Linked DNA regions of Drosophila melanogaster. The protein of the gene in region 1 interacts with the protein of each later gene in a pairwise test. Each region holds a gene or a part of one and is shown in the gene's direction. Other genes may lie near its edges. The genes, in order: CG15262, CG32548, mid and hbn.

Region 1 (3,694 bases):
GCTTTACATATGTAAGCTTACAAGTTCATTTGTAATTCAAGTTCAAGCACCCAAAAAATACTCTCTATATATGCAGTAAGTATTTTTGAATAATGTTTTAGTTTTCAGTGTGCTATCACCTCGAAATGAGTAAATGTCTGGGTAATCTAGGAAACTTAGCTTGCGGAATGGTCACGTGATACGTCAGGTGCGGGAGAAACCTATTCTGAAATACAAAAATGAGTATTTTGCAATCAAATGAAAGCCAAAATCCAATTTAGGATCGCCTCCAGTTGACACCTCCGTGGCCTAGAGACTCCACTTGCCTCGACTGTGGCCCTGGCCATGGCGATTTAATGGCTTCGCAATTGGCCTGACCCATCTGTGGACCAGGCCAAGTGCCAGGTGATCGTGGCCAGTATGACTGCGAATCGTGGAGCGGAGCAGGCGGCTTTTGTCGCTGTCCCCGGCAACATGAGTATGATTTATTGTACTTTATGTGGCCGGAGCAGCTTCTGCCCGCAGTTCGTGATGGCTTCGCTGGCTTCGTTAGTCGCGTTCCTGGGATCTGGATGCATTGCTATATACTCTGTACATGGGTATTTGGAAAGTGTTCTGTGCCAGGAGTACTGTATTTTTGGTTGTGCTTAGCATATTAAGTGGTAACTTATACATGATGACCTAAGGAATATGCAGCATGAAGCAGCAAATCACACGATCTATTTATATAAAATAAGGACTATAAGCTCACATGATATTGCAAGGGTATTACAAAGTACGGTTCTAAAACTTAAACGTATTTTGCTTTTTTGATCTGAAAATTCTGCACTTGGCCGTGCGGCGATTATGTGTATCATTTTTCTTTGCCAGCGGCTGGGATTCTACGTTATTGTATTTTATATTATTTGTGCTTAATTTGGGGAGCACAGGTAAGGAGCAGTGGGAGCCGTGCACCTGATCCCAAGAGTGTTGTGACTCTTGAGGCCGCTGGACAAGTTCGTTGATTCGCGGCAGGCAAATGACCATGTGCTCCTCAACATTTTGTGGGCAGGAGCACTTGGACTATTAGCCAAGATATTTTCCCTCCCCTTTCCTTTTTTTTTTCGTTTTTTTCCTTTTGTCAATTCCCAGGGACTTTTGCTTGGCCAAGGAACGAGATTTATGTTAGTATGGTGTCAGTTTAAGTTAATGGGTTATACTCCCCGCCAGTTTTTTATTTAATATTTTATAGGCGAACGTTTTTTGTGCGTCTCATTCTTATTTTTATGCACAATTTTATTCTTTTTCCTTTGGCTGCTGCGCAGGTGAATTTTTTTTGAATTTATGACCATACCTTTTAAATTGCTTTGTGGCAATTTCCGTGGCACCCACACAATGCGAGAAGTTAATTTATTAGTAAACTCAATGTTTCAGGTTTGTTATGATTTTTGTTTTTTAGCTGAAAAACGACTTAAGTATATATGTATAATCTATATAATCTATCTATATAATCTATATTTTTCCCTGCTTAACGAGTTGCTATTAAAAATCTGACACATTAACTTTTAGTAATTTTCGCGTATGAATATGTATCACAAACACATTCGACTACAAGCTTTATATCGAATATTTTATCGGAAATCAGTGTTAATCAGGACTCTCTCAAATGTCATTTTGGCAAGCTATAGTATTGCAAACCAAAGCGATCTCTGCCACACGTGTTTTTTCCTCGCAACGCTTATAAATTACGAGATAAGCTCTGAGTCTTATAGAAATCCAGAGTAAGATATGAAACGTCATTATTACAATACTGGGGATGACCAGCAGGAGGTGGAGAGCTCTCCAAGTCCGCCGCCTCCTCCGCCTTTCCAATCGCCATTATCATCGCCCGAGTCTTTGCAGACCCCGGATGGATATCCCATTTTGTACGTGGATGTGGTAAAGAATAAGCCCAAACAGGAGTTGCCGCCGTCCGCATCACCGTCCCAACCACTTGCGCCGGAGTTCAGCATCTTTCGCGAAGATTTTCCGGCTCTGCCAGGATCATTACCATCTGCATTACCAACCGCATTACCAACGACATCGAGCCCTGTGGTGCCCGACGACTGGACAGCCATGATGAGCAACAGCGAGCAGGTCGAACTCGCCAAATTTCGAAATACAGTTATCCGTAATTCCAGTGATCCGTGCGTTAACGCTAACGGCAACGAGGTGCTCCGTCAGCCAACCCATGCTCCCGAGAAGCGCCAGAATATGGAGTTGCTGCCCCATATGTACGGTTATCTCGGCAATCCGTTCCGTTTAAATTTGAGCATGATATTTACCAAGCAATTCCTGCTCGAAGGCGTCAGGCAGAGGGCTATAAATGCGGCCCACAAGAGGGCTGCCCTGGCAAAACCAGCAATCCAACCACCACCCGGATTCGAGAATTGCAAAATTTTTGCCCGCTTGATAACCAACAGTGATGGTATGCCACTGGGTGGAGTCACATTTGAGCTGGGCTCACCCACTAATGAAACGACTTCGAATGTGGAGGCGAAACCTTCGGGTTCCACCATTCAGGGAGCCTTTGGGATGTTGGGACTGGCCAAGAAACTGCGATCGATTAATCAGAACCCGCTTCTATTCGGAAATAATGTTGCCCACAATATAGGCGGAGCCGCGGACTCGATCTTTACCGGGCCAATTCAAGAAGCCCGTTTGACTCCTCAGGAGATGAGCTACAAATTGCCATTGAACTATCTCTTCAATGTAAATATGAGCCTACAGGAGCCCAAAATCGAGGAAATGCATGATGAGCTCCTATTTTTCTTCTTCTACACATATGCTGGCGACATGATGCAGATGCTCGCGGCTGCTGAACTGGCGGAACGTGGATGGCGCTATCACAAGTATGAACATTTCTGGGTCATTCGCCAGGCGGACAATCCCAACTACTTATATCACGGATTCCGGGAGTTCGGAGAGTACAATTACTTCAACATGTGGCAGTGGAAGATCCTGCCACGACACTTTTACCTGGATCCCGAGATCCTGGAGCGCACTCTATCCAAGGAAGAGCTGTATGTGACGTACGGATACCATCCCCAGATGTCGGGTATTTAGAAGAAAGTTCTTTTGTCATCAATAGCCAGGGATATACGGGTTTAAAAATTCTCTCTGACGCTGTAGCATCTTTTTTATAAAAACAAATTAAATTTTTTATAAATATTCATAAGCGTTTTATTAATAAATTCAGTGTGGGGAATGTATTTATTTATATTTAGTATATATAGTTGCCTGTTTTCTTAGTTCTATCAATTGGTGTTTTTTGCGAATTTGTAGTGTTCATATTTATTCACTATTTATTTATTATTGTATTAAAAGTTAACCAGCGGATGACCAACCCATGTTTTAGTCACCTTGCAACCACGGACCCACCGCCGAAAAAAATCCAAGCAACCACACCCTCCAAATGCCATCGCAAATCCACAATCCACACAAGACCACTGAGTACCCAGCACCACCACCACCTTCATAGCCAAGCCCCAAAGATACGAGGAAAATCGCAGCGCTCATTAGCAAAATGGAGCAGACGGACAGTTGCACATTTGGAGTCGCAGCTTTCCGCCCAGACACGATCTCTTGGCCAAGTGTCGCCGTCATTTAGCCCGCTAATTGCCACGTAAATTTGCAACCATTTTTGGCAGCTCATTAAATTTATTATTAAAACAAAAGCCGGAGCGAAGCCAAGTTA
Region 2 (6,960 bases), on another chromosome or scaffold:
TGGGTCTCCTTCTTTTTTGCATAATTTGCGCTGTTTATTTTGATGGCTTATGGTGGGGTAATCGTAAAACGACAAGCATTTCATTCGGAAAAGTCAACTTTAATGGAGAAAACACGCCCGGACGGAAACGGAAAGTACGACCCCACATGGATAGATAGGACCCAAGCCCCAAGGAATGCAGCCGGAGTGAAAGGAGAAGTTATGGCCATTACCCCGGGGCACATTAAGTTAGGAACTCGGTTTGGGTCACTTTATTGGGGTAATGCGGGTCAGCAGGCACACAAACACACAGACAGACAGGCAGACAGTCGGGGACAGACAACTTTCAATCGTGTGAAATGCGCTTTCAATTACACGCCGCATAATGAAATGCGCAAATAAATTTATGACGATCACGTATCACGTATACGCAACGGTGGCAGGTAAGCGCGCGCTTAAGTGACCATTACGCACTAACCACCACCAGGTCTTTGCTGCTTTCATAATAATCGTTGCCCTGCCAACGGGCCAAATCTCATTGGGCCATCAAAACTGCATTCCAATTGAGCCGATTTTTCGCTTCTTACTCTGGCCTTAACCCCGCTTCCGTATCTTGGTGGCTAAAGCCATTCGTACACAGCGACAAAAGCCCACTAGTCTTCTCACTTCATCATGCTCTGCGTTTAGAGAACGATGGGTCTGAAGGCGCACTCGTTTTCGCACCGTGTAGCCGGCATTTGCAAGTTTCGCTTTTCGGACATATCGCGCATTCCGGGCACGTTCCTATAAACAACGTTTTATGCCGGTGTTTATGTTTAGTTTGCCGTTCGCCCAGCGGGGGCGGATTGTTATGTAAGTGCCAAAGAGCATATTCAATTTGAATTGGAATTGGAATTGCCATCTACATCTACACCCTCCACTGCACACTCCTCCCCGCCGTTGTTATTGCTTATTCCATATTCCGCAGGCAGACACCAAAGTTTAAAGAAAGTTATCCACGCAAAATGTGAAACAAAACAATGCGGGTGAAAATTAAAATAAAATATATATCGAAATTGAAATTATGGAAAATTATATTAAACGCGACAGGGTAGGGCAGCTTTGTCAAAAAAAAAGAAAAAAACTTGAAGGCACAGCAGTTCAATTGGATTACATTAGATATCTTGGATTTCAGGCAACGATTTCGAATAGAAGCTATAATACTTTCCAACTGCACAGAGAAAATCAAATGACACCTTTTAAAAAATAATCTAATGGATGATTAGATTGAACCTATTATTGAGAAGTTAACTTCGTGAAATATTTCGCTCTAATGATAAACTGAAGTCATTATTCTATAAGTGTTATTAAAATATGATTTTTCAGGTGCTTCATAAACCGAAAATTGAGACTATTATTATCTTCAAATTTGGTTCAACTATTATTTACTTCACTTTATTCACACATTTAAGACGTAAAGAGTACAACATTTTTTGGGCCAAACTTTATGGCCAAAATATGTATGCATGTACGCTGTTTTTGGGGCCAAAAACTGAAGTGGCAGAGGCAGAGAGCCAAGCGTGGACATTCCCCAATCGAAGGCGGTATAAAATCGGTGGACAGTCGGCGGGCGCTGCACAGTCAACCATCGACGTTCGCGAGTCGCGTCCGCTTAGCTGATAACGATCCATAGTCCGATTGCACGGTTGCTCGGACATACTGCCAAATCAACGGGAGACGAAGTCGAGTTCCAATACCAGGCCATCCAGCCATCCAGCCATCAACCATCCATTAGCCTCACCACGTAAATCATGTTCGCATTGGCCTTGACGGTGGCGGCCTTGGTGCTTGCCGGCCAGCAGGAGGTGTGCCGCGCACAGGTCTCCATCCACACGGACGCCAACTCGAACTCCTACAGCCTGAAGACGCCCGGAGTGCAGCAGACCTTCACCCGGTACTACGGAGGAGCGGCCAAGAACCAGCAGGTGGAGCAGCCGCAGCTGCAGCAGCCGCAGGAGCAGGAGCAGTTGGTAAGTACATCACGGCAATGGTGAGGGGTGAATCTACTATTGAAACTCTGGGAAAAGCACATAAAGTTAAACTTGAATTTTAAAATTGCTTAAGAAAACACTGGATAACAATTATACGAGGGAAAAAGTTGCGGACACACTCTTCAATTTAATTTAATATTTAGCCACATGGCGTTGCTTTAGAGTAGTACTATGAATTGGAATTCGAATTGAAATTAACCGCCAAAGTTTTGGATGTTCGATGCTTGTTCGGGTAGAAAGGGCGTTCCATTGAATGTCCCGTCACCATACTCCGAACTTTGTGGGCCCTGCATATTGTTTTCGAAGATCTCCTGCATTTGATCGACGGCGTCCATCACATCAGTGGGCATATTCTGCAGGGAATTTGGGTATCAAGGATATACGATACGAGTACGAAGTATCTTACCTGTGACCAGACGGGCGAAATGCTCCAATGGAGCAGACCTAGACTCAGGATTAAAATAGGCGATGTCATCCTGTGATGGCTTCACTTCCCAATAATTGATTGCCAAGAAGAAAGCCAGCTATTTAACCTGTCACTTTCTAGTTATTCTGCTTAATTACGCGAAAAACAGATATGTTTTCATGTTTACATAATCTAGATGCAACATCTAGCATCTGGTTTAGTTAGCATGCGAGGTTGTTATTGGCAATTAGCTTAGTGGCTTACAGATCTAATTAAACCAGAGATGAAAAAATCTCATTTTTGTTGGTTGGAAAAGCATTTTAAGCCGAATCATTCAGTGCCTAATTGGTTATCATCCGCAGATGTATACCATATTACTTAGTATTGTCATTTTGTAGTATTCAAAAAATAATTATAAATACCCGCTTGGAAATGTACCTAAATCAAAAGCAATCAAGTTGGCTTTCAACGGATGATATTTCCCAAATCAAATGAATGTTTTAAATTCTTTGCTACGCTTTATTTGCTCGAAACGAAAGTAAAACGCCCATTTCAGCGGTTAGAAAATACTTCATTGGGTGAATCGAGATCCGTGGTGTCGGAGAAAAGGTTCTTGAGTTCCTCAAAGTAGTTCTTAAACGAGTCCACCATCGCGTTCCAGGCTTGGGTTATATTTTGTCCAAACTCCCGCGCCGCATCGCCGATCCGCTTGTCCAGCCTTGGATCGTCGGGATAGACCAAATGCGGTCGCACATCGTCGTACTCGTTGGAGTAGTCCAGATCGAACTCGTCGGCCCAAGTTTGGGCCACCAGAGCGAGGGTCAGGGCCACGATTAGTAGGGCAGAGAATCTGGGTCCGGAAATCATTTGGCCAACTGTTGTGCCCAGCCACCTGAATGCGCCTTTTGTACCCAGCCTTTTTAATTCAATCAGATTTCGACCAGACACGGAAATGTTCGAAATGCATGTCGAGATGCATCTCATCTGGCCCGGAAGTGCCCACTGACCGTTGGCTCATCGTGACTCGGCTCGTTTCCGTATCTCCCATCTGGACAGCCTTCAGTAGTCGAGTTGCTGTGGTGACCCCAATGGCCTTCTCCTCGGACCACTTTCGATCGGATTGCTCAGAAATGACAGTTCGCTTTTTGCTTTATTGCCTCTGCCTGAGGAATCTTTATCGATTGGGGGTGACTCTTCGGCGGTGACCTTTTTAAAGAGCAACAAATAAGGTTGAGTTCTTAAAGGTATGCCACTTTAAAATGGTAACCGGATTCCAAGTTTTGGGTCACCTTGGTGATATGTTTAGTTGAGCTCACAAGCATTTGTAGTTTAAAGACGGAGTACACGTTTTTTTTGACTCTAATGCCGTTTGGGGTCACCTTTTACCAAAGGTGATTGGCCTTAATTGGCTACTACATTGATAATATGATGGGGTCTTAAAATGGATGTAATCTATAGTACATATTTGAATGAAGACGTAATCGTAATGTTTTTGGCCAACCCAGAAAACATGCCGCTCAACACAGTTTCCGGTTTTCAGTTGATTTTATTGCACTTATAAACAAACAAAAAAAATACACTCGATGGTGGTCGTCAGGGAGCTCGGTGATTCTACGCCGTGGAGTTGGCCGTTTCGGTGATCTTCTGGCGCACCTGCTGCACCACATCCGCTACGTTGTTCACAAACGAAAGCCACATGGCCTTGATTCTGGTGCCCAGGCCCAAGGGATCCGCTCCGTCCATATTCTGTGTCACTTCCATGCCCTTCTCCTCCTGCCGTCGTCGTCGCACCAACTTCTTGTTCTTTTTGCCAGTGGTCTTGGGACTCACTCGGGATCGGGAGGCATTGTTGGCGGCCCGCTTTTGAGCTCGTCTCCGTCTGGCCTCCACGTCATCGTCGGCGGACGCCGCTGTGGTGGCGGCAGCGCTCATTTTCCAGAAGCAAGGAGCGCGTTTGAGGCGATGCAGGCTCCGCCGCCTTCGCTTCCGACGACGATCCTCCTCGGATGAATCGGTGGCAATGGGACGTATGGCATCTCCATAGCCAACGGCCGTTTTCGAGTGCACGGACATCAGGGGATTGTCAATGTCGACGTCGCGGGAGATGGCGGCGCCACTCTGAACTGCCTCCGCTATATTTCCGGCCAGAGACATGGCGCCCATGCCCAGCGACTCTAGCGGATTCTGTGGACCTGGCCTGGCCGCAATCATGGCCAGACCCGCGACAACCAGGAGAAGTGCCAGCTGATGGCGATTCATCGTTTCTAACTGTAAGGTTGCGGCATTGCATCCGCGCTTTTTAAGCCATCGAATCGCGTGATTCCCTTCGATACATATCGATTTGAATCCACACCATGGCACCGATGGCTAGTAGAGATCACAGTAGGCTTTCGGATTGGCCCGACGACAGCTGTCAGGTGTCACCGGACTGGTTGAGCTATCCAGTCAGTATCACTTGCTCGCTCAGTCGGTTCAGATCGGTTCGTTTTACAATTTTTCCCGCTACAGACTTCGTAAACAAATTGTATCAAAATCTGAATTTGAAAATCAATTTTTGGCTATCCACACTCGAGCTACACAACCTCTCGTCAAAACTTTTAAGTTTACATCGCGACAAACGGAACAACAGGGAATCATGAGATCCAGCAAAGTTCGTGGGGGCAACGCCAGTCGATTGGCTGACGCGGAGGGACAGTGGGGAAAGGGATGCCTGGGTTCCCAGCACTCAATTATCAAGAATCACGGGCGTGGCCTTTCATCCGTGAGTAAAGGAAAGCGTGTTATAAGCTCAATTGTATGAATATTTTACAAAACGAAATCAAAAGTTACACATCGAAAACGGCCTACTACTTGCGCACATTAGACACTCATCTAAATATCATTTAAGCCAGTTCAGAATAAGGATAAAATTGTCCTGGTTTAGCTTCCATTCTCATCCGTTTATTCCTCTAACCTATGCAGCAAACTCCCACGCAATTTGGTGGATTCTCGCCGTCGGGACAGCAGTATCCTGCCGTGTACTCGCAGCCAGGATTCCGGGCCGATGGTAAGCTGAAGGTCACGCCCAACTCGCTGCTCCAGCAGCAGCAACAGCAGCAACAGCAGCAACAGCAGCAACAGCAGCAACAGCAGCAACAGCAGCAACAGCAGCTCCTGGCGCAGCAGCAGCAGCAACTCCTGGCCGCCACATCGCCGCAGGTAGCAGCTGCATCCGGACCAGGAGTGGGCGTTAGCGGTGGCGTGGTCAACATGCCCAGCTATGCGGACCAGATGCACGCCGCCTTCCTCGATTATCAGCGCCAACGAGCCGAGTTCGAGCAGCAGCAGCAGCACCTGCTGCAGAAGCTCTACCACTACTATCCCGATGTATCCGGCGGCCTAACATCACCGGCTCATCAGATTCAACCCCAAACCCCCCAGATAGCTGCTCCCGCCGATGTGGGAGGCGCTCCGGCGGGCGTGGCAGCACAGAACGCAGCTGGCCGCTTCGCCTACCGTCGGCCGCAGTTCAGCAACAATGGCCTGCAGCCCGAGCGCCTTGCATCCGGATCCATTGTGCCCGGAGGTCCAGTAAGAGGAGGTCCAGTTGGAGTCATCCCGGGAGGAGTGATCGGATCAGCGCCTTTGCGCTCCAACAGTCTGGGAGGGGGAGCAAGTGGAGACTTCTACTCCACGCAACAGCACATGGGCTTCATGCAGCAGCAGCAGCAGGACGTGCTCCGTGACCAGCAGCAGTCGGTGGCCCATCAGTTCGCCACCAGCCAGTTGGCGCCCACCACCCGCCAGAGCTATGGGATGGCCGTTCCCATGTCCTCCGTGCTGGGATCCCCCACCTACCAGCAATCGCCGGACGTCTCTCATGTGAGCTTCTCAAGCGGCAATCTCAACTACAGCTTCTAATGATGATGAGCTGTTATTCCAAGGACTTCCAAAACTAGTATTTTCATTTTTTTTTCACACACCTTTTTTTTTGCGTAAATTTTCGTGGTATTTGATAAGAGGAATTGTTTAGGGCAAGCAAGAATAAATTTTGTAAGTGATGATAATTGTTGGTTTTTAGAGGGGTGGATGCATTTCAGGCTTATCAAATGGTGATTATGGCTTACGAAGTTACGAGGGTTAGATTTGCCTGAAGAAGAGTTTGAATGTGCACTTCTGGCCTCGAGTTATGTACTCTAGTTAGTTGCTTAATTAGCCCAAATCCATCCTATATGACCCAACAGCATTTCATTACTAATAAACCATCGGCACGTGCTCCGTGGAATCTAGCTGGTCAGTTAACTGGCCCCACTTACCAGATTCATCATGGCTAATGATGGGTCATTCCTAATCGGCAACGCTCATCTTTAACACGCCGCCGAGCTCACGTGCAATAAATGCATTAATATTGCTTTGAACGGACCGCCTTCGCATTGGCACACAATTGCTGCCATTGAATCTGTTTATAGAGTTAATATAATCCGTCCCATGCCATCGTACATCCCACTGGCGGATCCATTTATCCGAGCAGCCAGTCGCAGTCGCAACGGCGACGGACTTCGATTG
Region 3 (7,705 bases), 9.8 Mb from region 1:
GCCAACATATTAGGAACATAGGCTCTTTTTATGAAAGGAAGTGTAAACCTTTTTCTAGAATCAAAGTATGCACTCTACTTTTTAGAACCAGCGTTCTTGTGTCATAAAATTGTATTTAAAGTTATCCCAATCTATAATGCTATCGTCCGTTTTGCTTTTGAATTTGTTAATGCTGATAAAACATTTTATAGCTATCAACTTAACTGCAATTGTAACCAGAACACACACGACGCATCCCTCCCCGTCCACTTTCACCATTTCTCCCAGGGCGAAAGTGTCAAAGTGACATGCCCACTTTGTCGCTACCCGACTTAAAAAATGTCTCAAATTACAAAAATCACACAACAAGACGGTTTGTTCCTCGCACAGGATAAGCGGGATTAGTCAGCTTGTTAGTTAGTTTGGATCTCCGCGTTCCGTTTTTCAGGATCGCAGGATTTCCGTCATGGCAATTGGCAATCCGAGCAATACGTAATGAATGTGACGAACTGTCAGTTGTTTCGAGTTTCCTTGTCGCAGCCGCATTTTCTTTGCATTTTTTAGCGGGTTAATTGGCACTGACAAAGGTCTTGACTTTTGCCTGGGAAACATAACAATTTGTTGACATCTGTAAATATTATGGGGGAATTTTCCAGAGGACTAGCTTCTATCATACAGCGTGTGGAATTGTATATAATTACTAACGGAAAAATATCCCTGTTAACTTTTTGAATCGCCATAATCTAAATTTCATGATCATATCCTCTTGAATATAAAAAAATATAGCTTTACAAATAAAAATGTCTTGACTAATGCTTATAGATATACTATGTTTTCAAATGGACTTCTATAATATGTACTAAGCGAATTGTTTAAAATATGTTCTTCCCTTTACCGAAATAAATTCAAATTGCATATACATTTTAAATAAACTTGTAGTTATTTTCGCACTCTTTATTCATGTTTTTAGAGCACAGAAAAATTTCTCGAGCTCAAACTAATAAATTCCCAACGTCCCATTGCAATAACCTTGACTCAAGGTCCATGTCCTTGCAGATAAATAAGAAAGGAAAAACAACGGGATGCAACTGCAGAAAAAAAACAGAGACATAAAACTCACTCAAAACAGAATTGAGTGAGACACGGAACGTGTTGGAAACGAAATGGAACAGACGGAAGATGGAAGAAAACGTCAGAAGAGGAGATAACAGGAAATGGAATGCGACGACAACGGCGAAAAGTTGTTTAAAAAAAAAGACCAAGAAAAACCGCAAGCAAAACGTTGGCACTTCATAAATGGGCGAGAAAGAGAGGCAAAAATAAAAAGAAAGAGACCTCGCTATGGAGAAATAGAGAGGTGCGAGGGAGAAGGCCAAAAGCGCCGACATTTTTAATTGTAAATGAGTTATGACGCGTTCGTCAGAGAGAGAGGTGAGGCGAAGAAAAGAGAGGGGCGCAAGTTGCTGACAGCGCCGCCTTTCTCTCTGTCGCACGTTCACTCCCCCGCCGATTTTCCAATTGGAAAACGAGAGAGCGAGTGGCGTTTTCACTCAGAGTGTGCGGCTATAGGGCTATCCCGCTTGCACTCGTACTGGCGCGGCTCGCTGTAGGGTGGTCTCGCTTGCACACATAGGGACCATAAGAGGAATAACTGGTTTCCCGAGTTTTGCGCCTGCCGTCGTTTTTGGCTTCTCAGCGGCAACATTTTCCTGACACAATTCAGTTCGTCGTCGCCTGCCTTCCGTTGCGCACACACTCAGTCCGCGAGATTCTCAGTTCGCGTGCGCCAAAGATAAGCAAAAGAAAGCAAGAGAGATATAAAGATACAAGATACTTACACCTTGAAACATACACATACCCCTCGAGTTACCAAAGCTAAAGATGCATCTAGCTTTATAAGTGCCAAGTGTTGAAAAGTGACCAGATACAATACCCCAATACCTTTCCAAGGTATTCCCTAGTTAAAGCCCCATTAAGAACAACATCATACCCTTCAAAATGCTGGTTGGATCTCATCCGTATTTGTGCAACGGGGTGCCCGCCGCCCCTGCAGCACCAAATGCCAGTGGACAGACAACAACAACGGCTAGCAAAAGTGCCGCCGGCTCAGCGACGGACTTTTCCATCGCCGCCATCATGGCTCGCGAAGATGCCTCCAGTCGGGAGTCCTCCATTCGCAGTGCAAGTAAGTTCAGATACATATTGAAAATATCCTTAATAAGAAAGGAATTCTGTGGGAAGCGGCAGAATCATTAATCGGTTGATAGGAACAATTTGTTCTTAAAAATATATTTTTATGCATTAGAAATTTAATGCCTTGAATATTAAGCATTTCGATTATATAGTGATTTTTAAACAAGATTTTTTTAGGCTTAACAGACTTACAGCAAGATTCATTGATGAGATGTAGAATATCTTTAAGATACTTTCATTTCTGTAGTCTCAAATACCATAGGGTACTTTTGTTTAGAACTTCATTTGACAAGCTATAAGTTCCCTAATTCAACAATCTTTAATCATAGTAGGTAGTTGTAACTTTAGATATTCACTTATCTCCTAGCAGTGCTTTCTGTACAAAAACTTACTTAACATACCAGCACACAATAACTAGAAATTGCTAAAACAAAAATGGAATTTTTATACGATTAATTCAAATTAAACGTGATTAACAACTCAACGCCCAAGAAGAGAACCGCAAACTTGACCAGCGAATGCAAACATTATTAGCCACAAGACAATCGCTAATTGATTGCACAACAAATCTATTAAATTACTGTTGTCGCTTTGGGTGCGCAGAGTTCCATTTAATTGCTAATGACAATTAGCAGGCGTTCCGGCCACGTTAAAAAAGAAAAAACTAGTTCTCTCTGGCCGACGGCATTCGCAATTAAGTCGAGCCAAAGATCGCGAATCCAGATATTTGTTAGCAAACACTTGCAGCGCTCTTTTGTGGCCGATATTATGATAATATGCAAATTGTGCACAGCATCTAATCGCGCGGAATTCATATTTAACAAAGGCTGCTAATTATGTTAATTAATTTTCAACAATGTGCTTCATTTTATTAATTTTACGAGGCGCAGAAAATTAGCGACGGCCGAAATCAAAACAAAAACGCTACGAGGTGTTCGTATTTTACGATCTCTTTATCAAATATGCAGCTTTTTTAATTTCATATTTTGTTTTGTTTTTTTTGTTTTCTGTGGTCGCTTTCCGTTTTCCGTTTGCTTACTTTGCATTTTAACACCTACCGTCTGGGCTCACCTGCAAAAAAACCGGGCTGCTTAGTTCTCCCCATCATTTTGTTACCATTTTCGGCTTATGGAAAATGGAAAGCGTATGTGAGAGTTCGCCCATGGATAAGCCCAAAAATATTATTCATCAACTTTTGCGCACACACCTTGAACGAAAGCCCTCCGCTTTTGTTTATGCAATGGAAAAGAGCAATCGCAGCTAGAGTTTCGGGCTGTTTAATTGCCGATTTGTGTTCAGTTTGACAATTAAGCCAGCGGTCGTCGTCGCACTGTCTCATTGCAATTGAAACGCGAAGCGAAGCGGAAACTCCAAGAATATGAGACGACTCCACGCTGTCTGCCGCGAAATCAGCTCCACCACTCAATGTTGTCAACGGAAGCACGGCCTCGGTTTTTGGCCAAATGCACAACGGAAAAATCGTTAATAAGACGCACAAGTTATGAAGGAAAAAGTGATGAAAAATTCAGGAAACATTGTGATCTTTAAAGTGTTTAGTGCCAAATATATTGAAGGCTTCAATTTAGAGATTTTACTTAACGCTTTTTCCCATGTGCATTGCATTTTAATTTGCATTACCTCCAAAACGAACGGTGTAATTCAGATTTAATTTTCAATTTTCGCTTTTTCCTCTCGTGTCATTTAAGGTCCCATTTCGGTGGAGGATGAGGTTGACGTTGATGTGGTCGACTGCAGCGATGCCGAGGAGCCACCGACTAAGGCGCGTCGTTTGAACCATCATCAGCACCACCAGCATCACCAGCACCACCACAATAACAACAATAACAACAACAACAACAATGTGGCACACAAGAGTCGCAACAGCGGTGGCGCCGTGGCACAAACAGCTTCCGCCGAATCCCAACTGAACACCAGCTCGACCAGCAGCCAAGGACGCTGCTCCACACCGCCCCAATCCCCGGGAACGGAGGACAGCGAGGAGCGTTTAACACCGGAACCGGTGCAGAAGGCACCCAAAATTGTCGGCTCCTGCAATTGCGACGATCTGAAGCCGGTGCAGTGCCATCTGGAGACCAAAGAGCTGTGGGATCGCTTTCACGATCTCGGCACCGAGATGATCATCACCAAAACGGGCAGGTAAGCATCCAAACCAGCAACAAGCCATCCATCCATCCAGCCATCCATCCAACCATCAGTCAGTCAGTCGAGTTTAGTGCAAACAGGCATTAGTTTTAAATGGTGGAGCAACGTGGGAGATTTTGGGAGGTAAAAGTTGCTGCCAAATGGCATTACCCAAACATATACTCTTTTCACAAAATATTTTGCATTCATCACTTTTCCGCAAAACTTCTTTATTGAACAATCAAGTGTCTGCGTGTTCAATCATCAAAGATGTTCACCCTAAGTCAGTTGCCCATAAATTGGCTCGCCAAATGGTTTTTGCAGTGTCAACAAAAATTTCATGCCATTTGAGTGAATGTGTGGGGTCTATTTCCTCCAAAAGGGAAACTGTGCAAAAAAAAAGGAAACATTTGTGTACCTGCGCAGGAAGAAAATGAGAAAATCAGAGCTATGGGCGTTGCTGTTGTCAGCGGGAGAATGGGAACAAGTTCAATCCAAATGACCACGGGTTGTCCACACCTTTGCTCCCACACACCTGACCACACGCACACAGGTCACACATATAGATAGATATATATACACCTTAATGATATTGTAAAAATCACACCTCGGAGTCGCAGACATCAGGGCGGTCCCCGATGCCCGCCTTTGGCCTTTTTGGCCGGAGGTTATGTCACCGGGTTTTGGAGGGACATTAAACCACAGGATGTAGACAAGAGGGATACACAGGTTTGTGACTCAAAAAATGAAGGAAGAGTTTCGCTTTTGTCTTCATTGTCTGCACTTGTCAAAGCAGGGAGAATCGAAAAGGAAAATATGGGAAAAAATCAGCTTGAAGCCCCAGTGTCTGGGCCATAAATAGTCGACTTAACTAGCTGTGTGGCAATAGCAATCCCCAAAAAAAGGGAGCATTCAATGAAAGCAAAAATCTAATCGAATTAATTTAACTTTGTTACCTCTTCCAGACGCATGTTCCCCACTGTGCGCGTCAGTTTCTCGGGTCCGCTGAGGCAAATCCAGCCCGCCGATCGCTACGCCGTCCTCATGGACATCATCCCCATGGACTCGAAGCGGTATCGGTACGCCTACCATCGCTCCGCATGGCTGGTGGCCGGCAAGGCCGACCCCGCCCCCCCAGCACGCCTCTACGCCCATCCTGACAGTCCCTTCAGCTGCGAGGCGCTCCGCAAACAAGTTATCTCCTTCGAGAAGGTGAAGCTGACTAATAACGAAATGGATAAGAACGGACAGGTGAGTTGACTTGAGATACCGAGACGCTGTGGTACTGAGATACTCAGATGCGCAGATACTCGGCTGCTGAGACATTCAGATGCTGAGGTAGCGATTAGCCGCGAGTGCTAAATAATTGATAATTTTGCAACACGAAGAAATATTCGCCAAGTTGCGAGTCTAGAGACCATCGTTGATTAATGTTGCTTTGCTGTGAAAATGGAAAATGTTCGTGTTCAATTCAAGAAGTGAATTTTAGGACAATATACTTCTATCTAATTTATGAAAAGTTTTAAAGAATATTAAAGATAACTTTCAATCATTTAAGCACTTTCCTAATTCCCAGCTATGTAAATTTCAATCGACTTACTACAATGAAACCTTTTCCCTCTTTTCTATTCCCTTCCAGATCGTTTTGAACTCGATGCATCGCTACCAGCCCAGAATTCATTTGGTGCGTTTGAGCCATGGACAGAGCATTCCGTCGAATCCCAAGGAATTGCAGGACTTGGATCACAAGACCTACGTATTCCCGGAAACCGTATTCACCGCGGTGACGGCCTATCAGAATCAGCTGATCACCAAGCTGAAGATCGATTCGAATCCGTTCGCCAAGGGCTTCCGCGACTCCTCCCGCCTCACCGACTTCGATCGCGATCCGATGGAGGCGCTGCTCCTGGAGCAGCAGCTCCGCTCGCCACTGCGCCTCTTTCCCGATCCGCTGATGCAACAGTTTGCCGCTCAGGGTGATCCCTCCTCGATGGCGCTGTTCGAGAAGGCACGCCAGCATCTGCAAATGTTTGGCGGCAACTCCCCCTATGCCCAGCTGATGATGCCGCAAATGTACCAAGCGGCAGCAGCGGCAGCCGGACCACCTCCGCCACCCCCCGGCCTGGGCGCCTTCCACATGTTCCAGCAGCAGTGGCCCCAACTTACCGCCGGCTTTTTGGCCAGCGCCAATCAGCAAGCTGCCGCCGCTCAAGCCGCCGCTCAGGCCCAAGCGCAGGCGCAGGCGGCAGCCGCAGCGATGGCCGCCAACCGGACGCCCCCACCCCCGCCCACTGCATCCACGCCCTCGTCGACGTCGTCGGGATCGCCGTCGCCCGATATGCGACCGCGCCAGTATCAGCGGTTCAGTCCGTACCAACTGCCAGGCGGTCAGGGGCCACCCTCCTCTGCCGCCGGTTCGCCACCCGCGGTAAACGCCTCACGCAGCCCCGCCCACTAAGTTAACAGCCCACGCCACCAAGTTCTTGCCACGAGCAGTATTAAAAAGTGAAAGCACTGGGGTTAAAGGTCGTCTCTTAAATGCAAAAAAGTTCCTGGAATACTAAGAAAATACTTTAAAAAAAAACGTAAAAAAAAAATCGTCAAAAAGTTTTTAATACAATATTTTGCTTTCCGATATGATTTCTTATAAAAAAGATCGTTTCTGGCAAATATTACTGCTGAGTTTCTTTTCAGTCAATGAAATTGCTTAAACTTTAGCTTTATTTTTCAATTTAGACGACCTTTAAGCCCAGTGAAAACTACACAAAAAAGGTTAGCCATCTTTTTGAATGTTGTAAATTATTTGTTGTTTATATGAAGGCAAAGAAAAACTTTTCTCTATTTGTTGTAAAAATCTTAAATTATGTATAAGCTGTACAGTTCTTCTCACTTTCCCCTAGACAATTTTTGTAATCTAGTTTAACTTATTGTACAAATGTTTAAATGTTGTTCGAAAACTCATCTCAGTGTAAAGTTAGAACGAAATTCACTCAAAAACTAAGCAAAACAAAAAAATATACATATACATAAATAAAACGCTGCACGATTGTAAACTATATATAGCTATGTAGTGTAAGCATAAATCGTTAGTAATGCTATTATATATAATGATATATTCATAGTATTAACAGTAAATTCATAGACGCTTCAGTTAGTTATATTTATCCGGCGAAAACGTAAAGATTTATTTAGCATAAATTAAAGGAGAGTAAAACCATAATATGTATTCAATGTGAACGCTAAAAAAAGTGAAAACACGAAAAATATTTAAACAAAAATTATTAAACGAAAAATATGAAGAAAAAAAAACACAAACATACAAAAACCAATCAAAAATAAATAAAAATATGTGAACCAAAACTAGCAACGTTTTTTTAATTGGAATTTTTAT
Region 4 (7,891 bases), on another chromosome or scaffold:
AATTAGTGAGGAAGGAGCCCTTTTTTCTTCTGTTTAGCAGTCCTAATGAGCCGGCGATTACGACTAAGTGCGCTGATGATGCTGCATAAATTTTGGTGGCCGGCGAGCACTATGCATTCCACATTAGATTAGAGATTCCGAGGCTGTATGATCTGGGCAGGAACGCAATCCTAAGTCTCGAGAGATGCCCTCTGCAGCTCTAAATTAAACGAACATGCAATCGGATTGCTGAATGAAATCTGCATAGGGAATGCGTCCTATGAAAATATGATTAAGCGCCTCGGCAGACTAAACCTAATCCTGCGTCCTGTTGAGTCCCCGTGTCCTGTGGCGTCATGCATCTGGCACATTAATGAGTCCGGTCAACGCTTTGTCCCGCTTACTTGTTCACAGTTTTCGCGGAAATTACGTGTGCACTTTTCCCGATTTTCCCGGCTGAAGGTGCCGCGATCCTTGGCTTTGTTTGGGTTCGGGGCACAAAGGAATTGTGTAAGTTTCGACAAATTAGAGACCATAAATCCCGGTCCCTGCTTTGTTATCATTGTAGCCGGCGTTTTAGCACACCATGTATCCTTCGGGCATTAGATGGTTTTTCTTTTTTCGGGAACCACTTTTGGCCATTTTTGGCATCCTTTTGTGTTATGCAACCTGTGGGTGGACCAGGGTTCTGGACTAAATCTTGGATAGAGAGCCCTGTCTAAACTGAAGCTCAACGCAAATCCCAGATCTAAGTGGGTGATTTAAACAAGGCTGAGCTATTTTCGGTTATTTAATCGTAGCAAAACCAGGGCCTACATATTTTTAGATCCTTTTTGGTTGGTGCTACTTAAAATATTACATTTTTATCATTAAAAGGAAACATGCAGAAAATATAAGATTGGTAGGAAATCTTCATAGTATTTAGATAAATATATGTATTAAATTTATTTATGTATTATTATTATTATGTATTTATGCACTGGCTATTAATTAAAATGATTTGAATACTCATTAGTGAAATCAGTTCCGCACTGTACCTGTTGCTTTTAACGAAATTCAATGCGGCCGAAATCCTTCGAGATGAGATCAGTTTAATCAATGAACTTAGGTTTCGATCCTGCCACAGTTCCTTGCTAAGTAAAGGGATTCATTGATCGTTTGGCTTGTTCAATGAAACCACGGGCTCATTCTCAAGATCACGGGGATCCTGGCCATAAATCTATCGCCGAAATGGAAGCGGAACTAATAAAAGAGGACCTGGCAAATGGCCGACTTGATTCAGGTACCAGTTTGGCAATCCCGTGAGTGGTTCAACCTGTTTTGTGATTTGTGGATGAGCCGGGAAACGGGAGGGAGAGGAAACTACTGTGAGAGAGAGTGAGATATATATAAAGGAAGAGGGGGAAGGGTGAAATAGTTTTTAACAAGCGAAATTTGTGAAATAAACACAATTAATGAGCAAACCATGTTAGTTACAACTACCGAAAGAGAGTGCATTAAATGGGTAGGAAAGAGAAAGGTGTCAAGGAAAAGTACCAGAGAGATTTGAAAAGAGAGACAGAGAGAGAGAGAGAGTGGAGGAGGCCAACACCCCTAAGCCAAAACCAAAAGCTACCTGCAACCCAAACTCACACACACCGAGCGAGCCAACCCAACACACAGATACACGGCACTGAGATACTGAGATACTGGGGGAAACTACCCCTACAGCAGGAGAGAGAGGGAGAGAGCGAGCGTGTGCGAACGAAAGAGACGGCTGGCATGGCAGGACATGGGCGAAAGCGAAGGATTGGGAACTGTGATTCCGATTCGGATTCGAGAGCGAGCGAGCGAGCCTCGCCCATTTCACTTGCTAGCGAAAAACAGGCAACGTATTTAAACCTACGGGCGGCAGGAATCGCACTCAGTCGGTGGTTGTTGATCGTCACGAGCACTACTCACTCGCAGTTATTCACTCGATTCGATTCAGCTCATTGCAGTTCGTCGCAGTGGCTGTTCCGTATTCCGTATCGAAATCGCATCGTTTAATCGACAAATTTACCCGATAATAGCAATTAATTAAGCTAATTTTCAAAGCGTGCTCAACAAATATTGTGACATTAAACAAAAGTTGCCAAAAACGAAAATCTGGAAAATCGCTAACAAAATAAGAAAAAACCAACTTGTAGCAAGTGAAGTAAACCAATAGAAATCCGTACGGATCGCGAGTTGCTCTTTTGGTGGAGCTATGATGACCACGACGACCTCGCAGCACCATCAGCACCATCCAATCATGCCGCCAGCCATGCGCCCCGCCCCCGTTCAGGAGAGTCCTGTCTCACGCCCCCGCGCCGTCTACAGCATCGATCAGATCCTGGGCAATCAGCACCAGATCAAGCGCAGTGGTGAGTTTTAGTTTAACAAATATAAACTGGGGATAACTTACTGGAATGTAAATGTAAGGGGATCCTTTTTACAAAAATTCATCGTTTGCCGTCGGCGATCTGCGTTAGAGTTTCTTAGTACATCACACAAAAAGCTTAAAAGGAAACATAATCAAGATACAATAATTGCATTTTCTTAGAGAATCTTAATAAATTGTTTAGCTTAGTTTGATTTAAAAAATCCAATATCAAAATTAATTTGTGAATAGCTATGGGCAGGCGTAAACGAATTAAAAATTCTAAATTTGAATGTATAATTTGAATTGATTACGACCTATTTAGTTAGTCTAGCTTGTTAATTACAGCTTTGAAATATTTCTCACACACATCTTAAACATAATGAAAACATCCTGAATGCGTTACAACTTACCACCAGCAGGGCAAAATATCACGTTAGACTTCATGCACAGCCAATGGGCTCCCCCCCCAAATTTGGTGCTCCAAAATCCGAACCGTCCTCCTACTCCACTGACCACATCAAATAGATCCTTTCGCAAAGGAGCCGGAGCAGTGGAGAGGCAGATTGACATTGCCATCCATATCATATGCAAATTGCTCGCAAGGGACATTTTATCATAGTTGGGAAAGGTGAATGAGGGCAGTTCAAAACTTTCCGACAAACACCGACCTCGAACTCCACCCAGAGAGCAAAAAGAAAACATATCATGACAATGGGAGTTGTTCGGCATGTCGGAACTCTTGTTGTGGGCGTGGCCAAGCTGCAGGAGGCAGTTCGCCCAAGGATCTACTTGAGAAGAAAAAAAAAAACACTGTATCAAAACATATCTGGCCGGATATATCGCATGGAGAGCGGGAACGGGCAATTGCGTCATTAGACCCGTAATTAGATTGAAGTCCTCGGGAGAGGTGGAGGCTGGAAATTGCCTGGGCTGGATTCAGTGGAATCACGGCACCCATTGGTCCAGGTTGCAATTTGGCGACAACGAGCGGCGTGCGCACCGCAGGACACTGCATCCTGTGAGCCTCGTAATTTGATGCTCGCTGGAAATTACCTTCTTGCCACATGGGTCTGCGTAAATGTTACGAAATACGATAAGGATACAACCAGGACACGGGCGTCCTGCTGAGCGGGGACGTGTCCTGGTGCCATTGTGAATCCGATTAATTTGAGGTTCATTAAAGTTTGATTACACGTTTTGCCTTGGCTCGAAAAGAAACCGTTTTGAGTACTCACCAAATCGTTTCGTGTGAAAGGATATTTATATGCTCGCTGCCGTGGTATTGGGGTTAAAACTTATTCCGGCTTTATATTTATTTGTTATTGATTGCCAAATCAATTTGCGTAGCTTTCGAGCACTTGAAGGATTTGAATTTTATTCGAGACTGAGACCGTACAAAAAAAAGGGGGTTAAAATTGAGGATATAACTACTTCAGCCACAATTGAATGAACTTCAATTTCTGCAGCTGCCGTTTGGCTTTCGATTTTAAAAGTCAAACGCGAAACTTTTTGTTTCCCCACACACTCGAGTTCAATTCGAAATTGTTTAACTTTATTTCCCTGCCACTTTTTGTTTTTTATCGCAGATACACCCAGCGAAGTGCTGATTACGCATCCCCACCACGGCCATCCGCATCACATCCATCATTTGCACAGCAGCAATAGCAACGGCAGCAATCACTTGTCGCATCAGCAGCAGCAGCAGCACTCGCAACAGCAACACCATTCGCAGCAGCAGCAGCAGCAGCAACAATTGCAGGTTCAGGCCAAACGAGAGGACTCCCCAACGAATACGGACGGCGGCCTGGACGTGGATAACGACGACGAGCTGTCCTCCAGTCTGAACAATGGCCATGATCTCAGCGATATGGAGAGGCCGCGTAAAGTTCGAAGGTGAGTGCAGCGACAATCCGCTTAGCAGATCAAATCGTATTTACCCATTGTCGGGCTATTAAAAAACATGCCAACAAAGAGGAGGGGGGCAAACTCTTATCCGACGTATCTAACGTGCCGCCCTTGCCGTTCCTTTCGATTTTTCACAGATCTCGCACAACATTTACAACATTTCAATTGCATCAGCTGGAGCGAGCCTTCGAGAAGACCCAGTATCCCGATGTTTTCACAAGGGAGGATCTGGCCATGCGATTGGATTTGAGCGAAGCACGCGTGCAGGTAATTGAAATTGGTTTTCGATTCGCACAATTATTTTCGAATTAAGTTGCAGTTCAACTCGCTCAAAATGTATCTGTATTTTCATCTAACGGCTATGGGCTTTAAATATTGCCATCGCAGTGTCCGCTAATAAGCGAATAAACCACTTTCAGAGTCTGGGAACTTGAATGGCTAGATAAGAACGGGCAAAACAATCGCCGAACCCAATTTGTAAATGGTCTTTGAAACACTTAAGCCCCACTTTGTATACAAACACGCTTAGTTCGTTAGTCGGAGGAGGGTTGAATACGGGTGAATACGCGTCCCTTTTTCTCTATAGAGGGTTGGCACCAAGGACATTAGATATTGTGATTTTCCAAATGATTAAATCGTCCGCGCTCACATGGTGTTGGTATTTTTATTAACTCTACTTTCGGGTAAACAATTAAAGTGGCTTTGGGTGCTGACTGGCGGCAGGACACGCGGCCAAATATACCCGACTACACATGTAATTAGGGTGTCCTTTCGCCCCGAATCGCATACGATTTGATTTCAGTTGTGAAACGCTTTCAAACACTTCACATCTGATTGAGCGATTCGCTCAATTTCGATGCTGTTTGTTGACAGGGAATAAAAAAGCAGGGAAAAGTATGGCCTGGCACAAAAAGTGAAAAAAAACAAGAAGTGAAGAGAATGTGAATGTGAAACAACTTGACCTAAGCACTCACATAGGGATTACCCGCTTCGAATACAAATTGTCCGTTTCACGGTCGTCATCCGCATGCTCACATCCTCACATCCGCATTCTCATCCTGCGCGTCCTTGCACTTATTCGTATCTGTTAGCAGATTAACTGTAATTGGTCATTGATTCGCATATGCAGAGCGTTTCGGGTACTTGAATAGTAACCGACTTAGAGCTGCCCGATTTTAATACATGTGTTATTTTTTTTGCTGAGCTGCTGATAGATACAAAAGTATCCAAAGCGTAATCCCCGCTTGTTTTGGGGTTGGTAAGTGAGCAATTATTTTCGGATTTGCATGCTCGTTGTGTGGGGCATTTGGTGAAAAAAAAAGGAGTAACCAGCGACTTATCTGCCGGGTTAAGTCAAATTTTTATTGTCGAGTTGGGGTATCGAAAAAAGCGAAAAAAATATTGAAAGCGAATTTGTATCAATCTGGAAATTGTTGAAACAAAGCGTTTTTGAACGCTTTATGCAGTCTTTTTAATTGGAATATATGCAAAGAACTTTCACATTTGAAAATCCAAAATAACGAATTCTTATACAATTTTTTAAAGTACACATTTTTTTTTTGAGTTTACAAACCGCCTCTTCCAGTTTTTGCGACAGTTTCTTCTCTCGTTTTGATCGCACATGTGTGATAAATGCTGAACGGATATCCGCAATTCAACTTTTACTGCCTGGCTGCTCTGGCACAGTGGTTTAAGTTGTTGCCATAATAATTGCTGCCAACTGACAATTAAAAAGCCCACAAAATCGCACACACACACAGCACTTATGCTGTGAAGGGGTTGGGGGTGGTGGGTGGCGTTTTCTCAGCAGAGACACACACAGGACACAGGACAATAATTGGCAGCAATTATAGCAAGGAAATCGTTGCTAATTTACTACTCGCTCAACTGCACACATTGTTGCAGATTGTGGGTGGCCGTAGAAGGGGGTTACATCTAAATACAGGGTGTCTATAATTGCAGAGCCTTCTCTATTGTCTCGAATTCATCAACGAGCGTTACAGACAGTTGTCAAGTGATTTCAATTTACAAACAATTAATTTTGCCATCAAAAACGAGAGCCTCGGCTCGGACTGAAAATTCGTCGCCCCCAAAAGGCGGAAATGTATGTGCAGCCAACGCCTATTTTGTGGATGGCCTAGGGGGCACATTTGCATAGGGGTGAATTTGGGTGGCTGCGAGTTTGGTCCACCCCAAACCCAAGCAAGTGTCGAAAAATGCATAAGACACCCTTTTGTCCGACGAGCGAGACGGGTAGCGACAGACAGAGAGCGTTGCAAATCAGAGCAGAACACTTCCGATTGGATGCCATTGTATTTGACCTAACCCTCCACGGCGTCCAAGTCCTTTGGCTCAGACACTCGAGGCTGGAGGCGGCAGAAGGAGCCATCCAAGGACCAAGTGCTTCCAACTTTGCGAGCACACAGATTGATAGATTGGGAAATTGTTCGGTTTTTGGTCAAAGTCAAAGCAATTACAAGTCGCTTGCCAAGGCGCTAGTTTTGTAGAACTAATCAAGTTTAGATCGAGGGATAGATACCCTTTAGAAAAGTATGCTGGTTTTTGAAAAGTATACAGGTTGTATACATAAGTCAGAAAAAGGCATATCCTCTCTTCGGTAAATGATATATCAGATAATTTTATGTTTTTTATTACCCCTTTAGCTTATAATAGCCTTAAATCCGAGGGCACCCAAAATTTGCATACCTACAACTCCATCTCTAAACTCCCTTCTTTTTCGTGCACTTGCAGGTGTGGTTCCAGAACCGTCGGGCTAAATGGCGCAAACGTGAGAAGTTTATGAATCAGGACAAGGCCGGTTACCTTCTGCCCGAACAAGGTGAGTTAACCACCCCCATCTCACGAATCCACCCCATCAAATCCCAGCCATCACCCACCCAACCAGCGATACGCATTTGATTTGTCCGCAAATTGCCAAATTACGTGTGCAACATAATTAGGAATTATGTCGCTTGTGTCGCTTGTCTCACCACCATAACCACCGCCACCACCCGCTCTCTCTGACTTTCGACTAACGAAATCGCCCTTTTGCCTTCCGCTTGCAGGTCTGCCGGAGTTTCCGCTGGGCATTCCCCTGCCGCCACATGGACTTCCGGGTCATCCGGGCTCGATGCAGTCGGAGTTCTGGCCCCCGCACTTTGCCCTCCACCAGCACTTTAATCCCGCTGCAGCCGCTGCCGCCGGCTTGCTGCCCCAGCACCTGATGGCGCCCCACTACAAGCTGCCCAACTTCCACACCCTGCTCTCCCAGTACATGGGCCTGAGCAATCTGAATGGGATCTTTGGCGCGGGAGCAGCTGCAGCAGCGGCGGCAGCATCGGCCGGCTATCCGCAGAATCTATCGCTGCACGCAGGACTCTCTGCGATGAGCCAAGTTAGCCCGCCGTGCAGCAACAGCAGTCCGCGCGAGAGTCCCAAGCTAGTGCCTCATCCCACACCGCCGCATGCCACGCCCCCAGCGGGCGGCAACGGAGGCGGCGGACTGCTAACGGGCGGACTGATCTCGACGGCCGCCCAATCGCCGAACAGCGCGGCAGGTGCCAGCAGCAACGCCTCCACACCCGTCTCCGTGGTCACCAAGGGCGAGGACTGAACGCTGTTCCG

Evidence for each region.
Region 2: the proteins of CG15262 (region 1) and CG32548 interact in a two-hybrid assay, tested with the Drosophila melanogaster proteins (one large-scale study listed by BioGRID).
Region 3: the proteins of CG15262 (region 1) and mid interact in a two-hybrid assay, tested with the Drosophila melanogaster proteins (one large-scale study listed by BioGRID).
Region 4: the proteins of CG15262 (region 1) and hbn interact in a two-hybrid assay, tested with the Drosophila melanogaster proteins (one large-scale study listed by BioGRID).

The regions. Positions count from the first base shown.
Region 1 is NT_033779.5:15,296,201-15,299,894, forward strand, and holds CG15262 (uncharacterized protein), read left to right. Parts: upstream 1-1,607; 5' UTR 1,608-1,746; coding exon 1,747-3,063; 3' UTR 3,064-3,167; downstream 3,168-3,694.
Region 2 is NC_004354.4:18,435,218-18,442,177, reverse strand, and holds CG32548 (uncharacterized protein), read left to right. Parts: upstream 1-1,596; 5' UTR 1,597-1,769; coding exon 1,770-1,988; intron 1,989-2,101; exon of another isoform or gene 2,102-2,203; coding exon of another isoform or gene 2,204-2,362; intron 2,363-2,415; coding exon of another isoform or gene 2,416-2,484; exon of another isoform or gene 2,485-2,511; intron 2,512-2,917; exon of another isoform or gene 2,918-2,967; coding exon of another isoform or gene 2,968-3,282; exon of another isoform or gene 3,283-3,310; intron 3,311-3,944; exon of another isoform or gene 3,945-4,026; coding exon of another isoform or gene 4,027-4,674; exon of another isoform or gene 4,675-4,688; intron 4,689-4,877; exon of another isoform or gene 4,878-5,050; coding exon of another isoform or gene 5,051-5,176; intron 5,177-5,376; coding exon 5,377-6,315; 3' UTR 6,316-6,459; downstream 6,460-6,960. Other genes in the region: CG43841 (uncharacterized protein), read right to left, coding at 2,204-2,362, 2,416-2,484; CG32551 (uncharacterized protein), read right to left, coding at 2,968-3,282; CG6290 (uncharacterized protein), read right to left, coding at 4,027-4,674.
Region 3 is NT_033779.5:5,459,941-5,467,645, forward strand, and holds mid (midline), read left to right. Parts: upstream 1-1,698; 5' UTR 1,699-1,977; coding exon 1,978-2,164; intron 2,165-3,878; coding exon 3,879-4,329; intron 4,330-5,279; coding exon 5,280-5,565; intron 5,566-5,953; coding exon 5,954-6,772; 3' UTR 6,773-7,670; downstream 7,671-7,705.
Region 4 is NT_033778.4:20,954,903-20,962,793, reverse strand, and holds the start of hbn (homeobrain), read left to right. Parts: upstream 1-1,884; 5' UTR 1,885-2,206; coding exon 2,207-2,363; intron 2,364-3,948; coding exon 3,949-4,255; intron 4,256-4,404; coding exon 4,405-4,534; intron 4,535-7,018; coding exon 7,019-7,106; intron 7,107-7,332; coding exon 7,333-7,880; 3' UTR 7,881-7,891.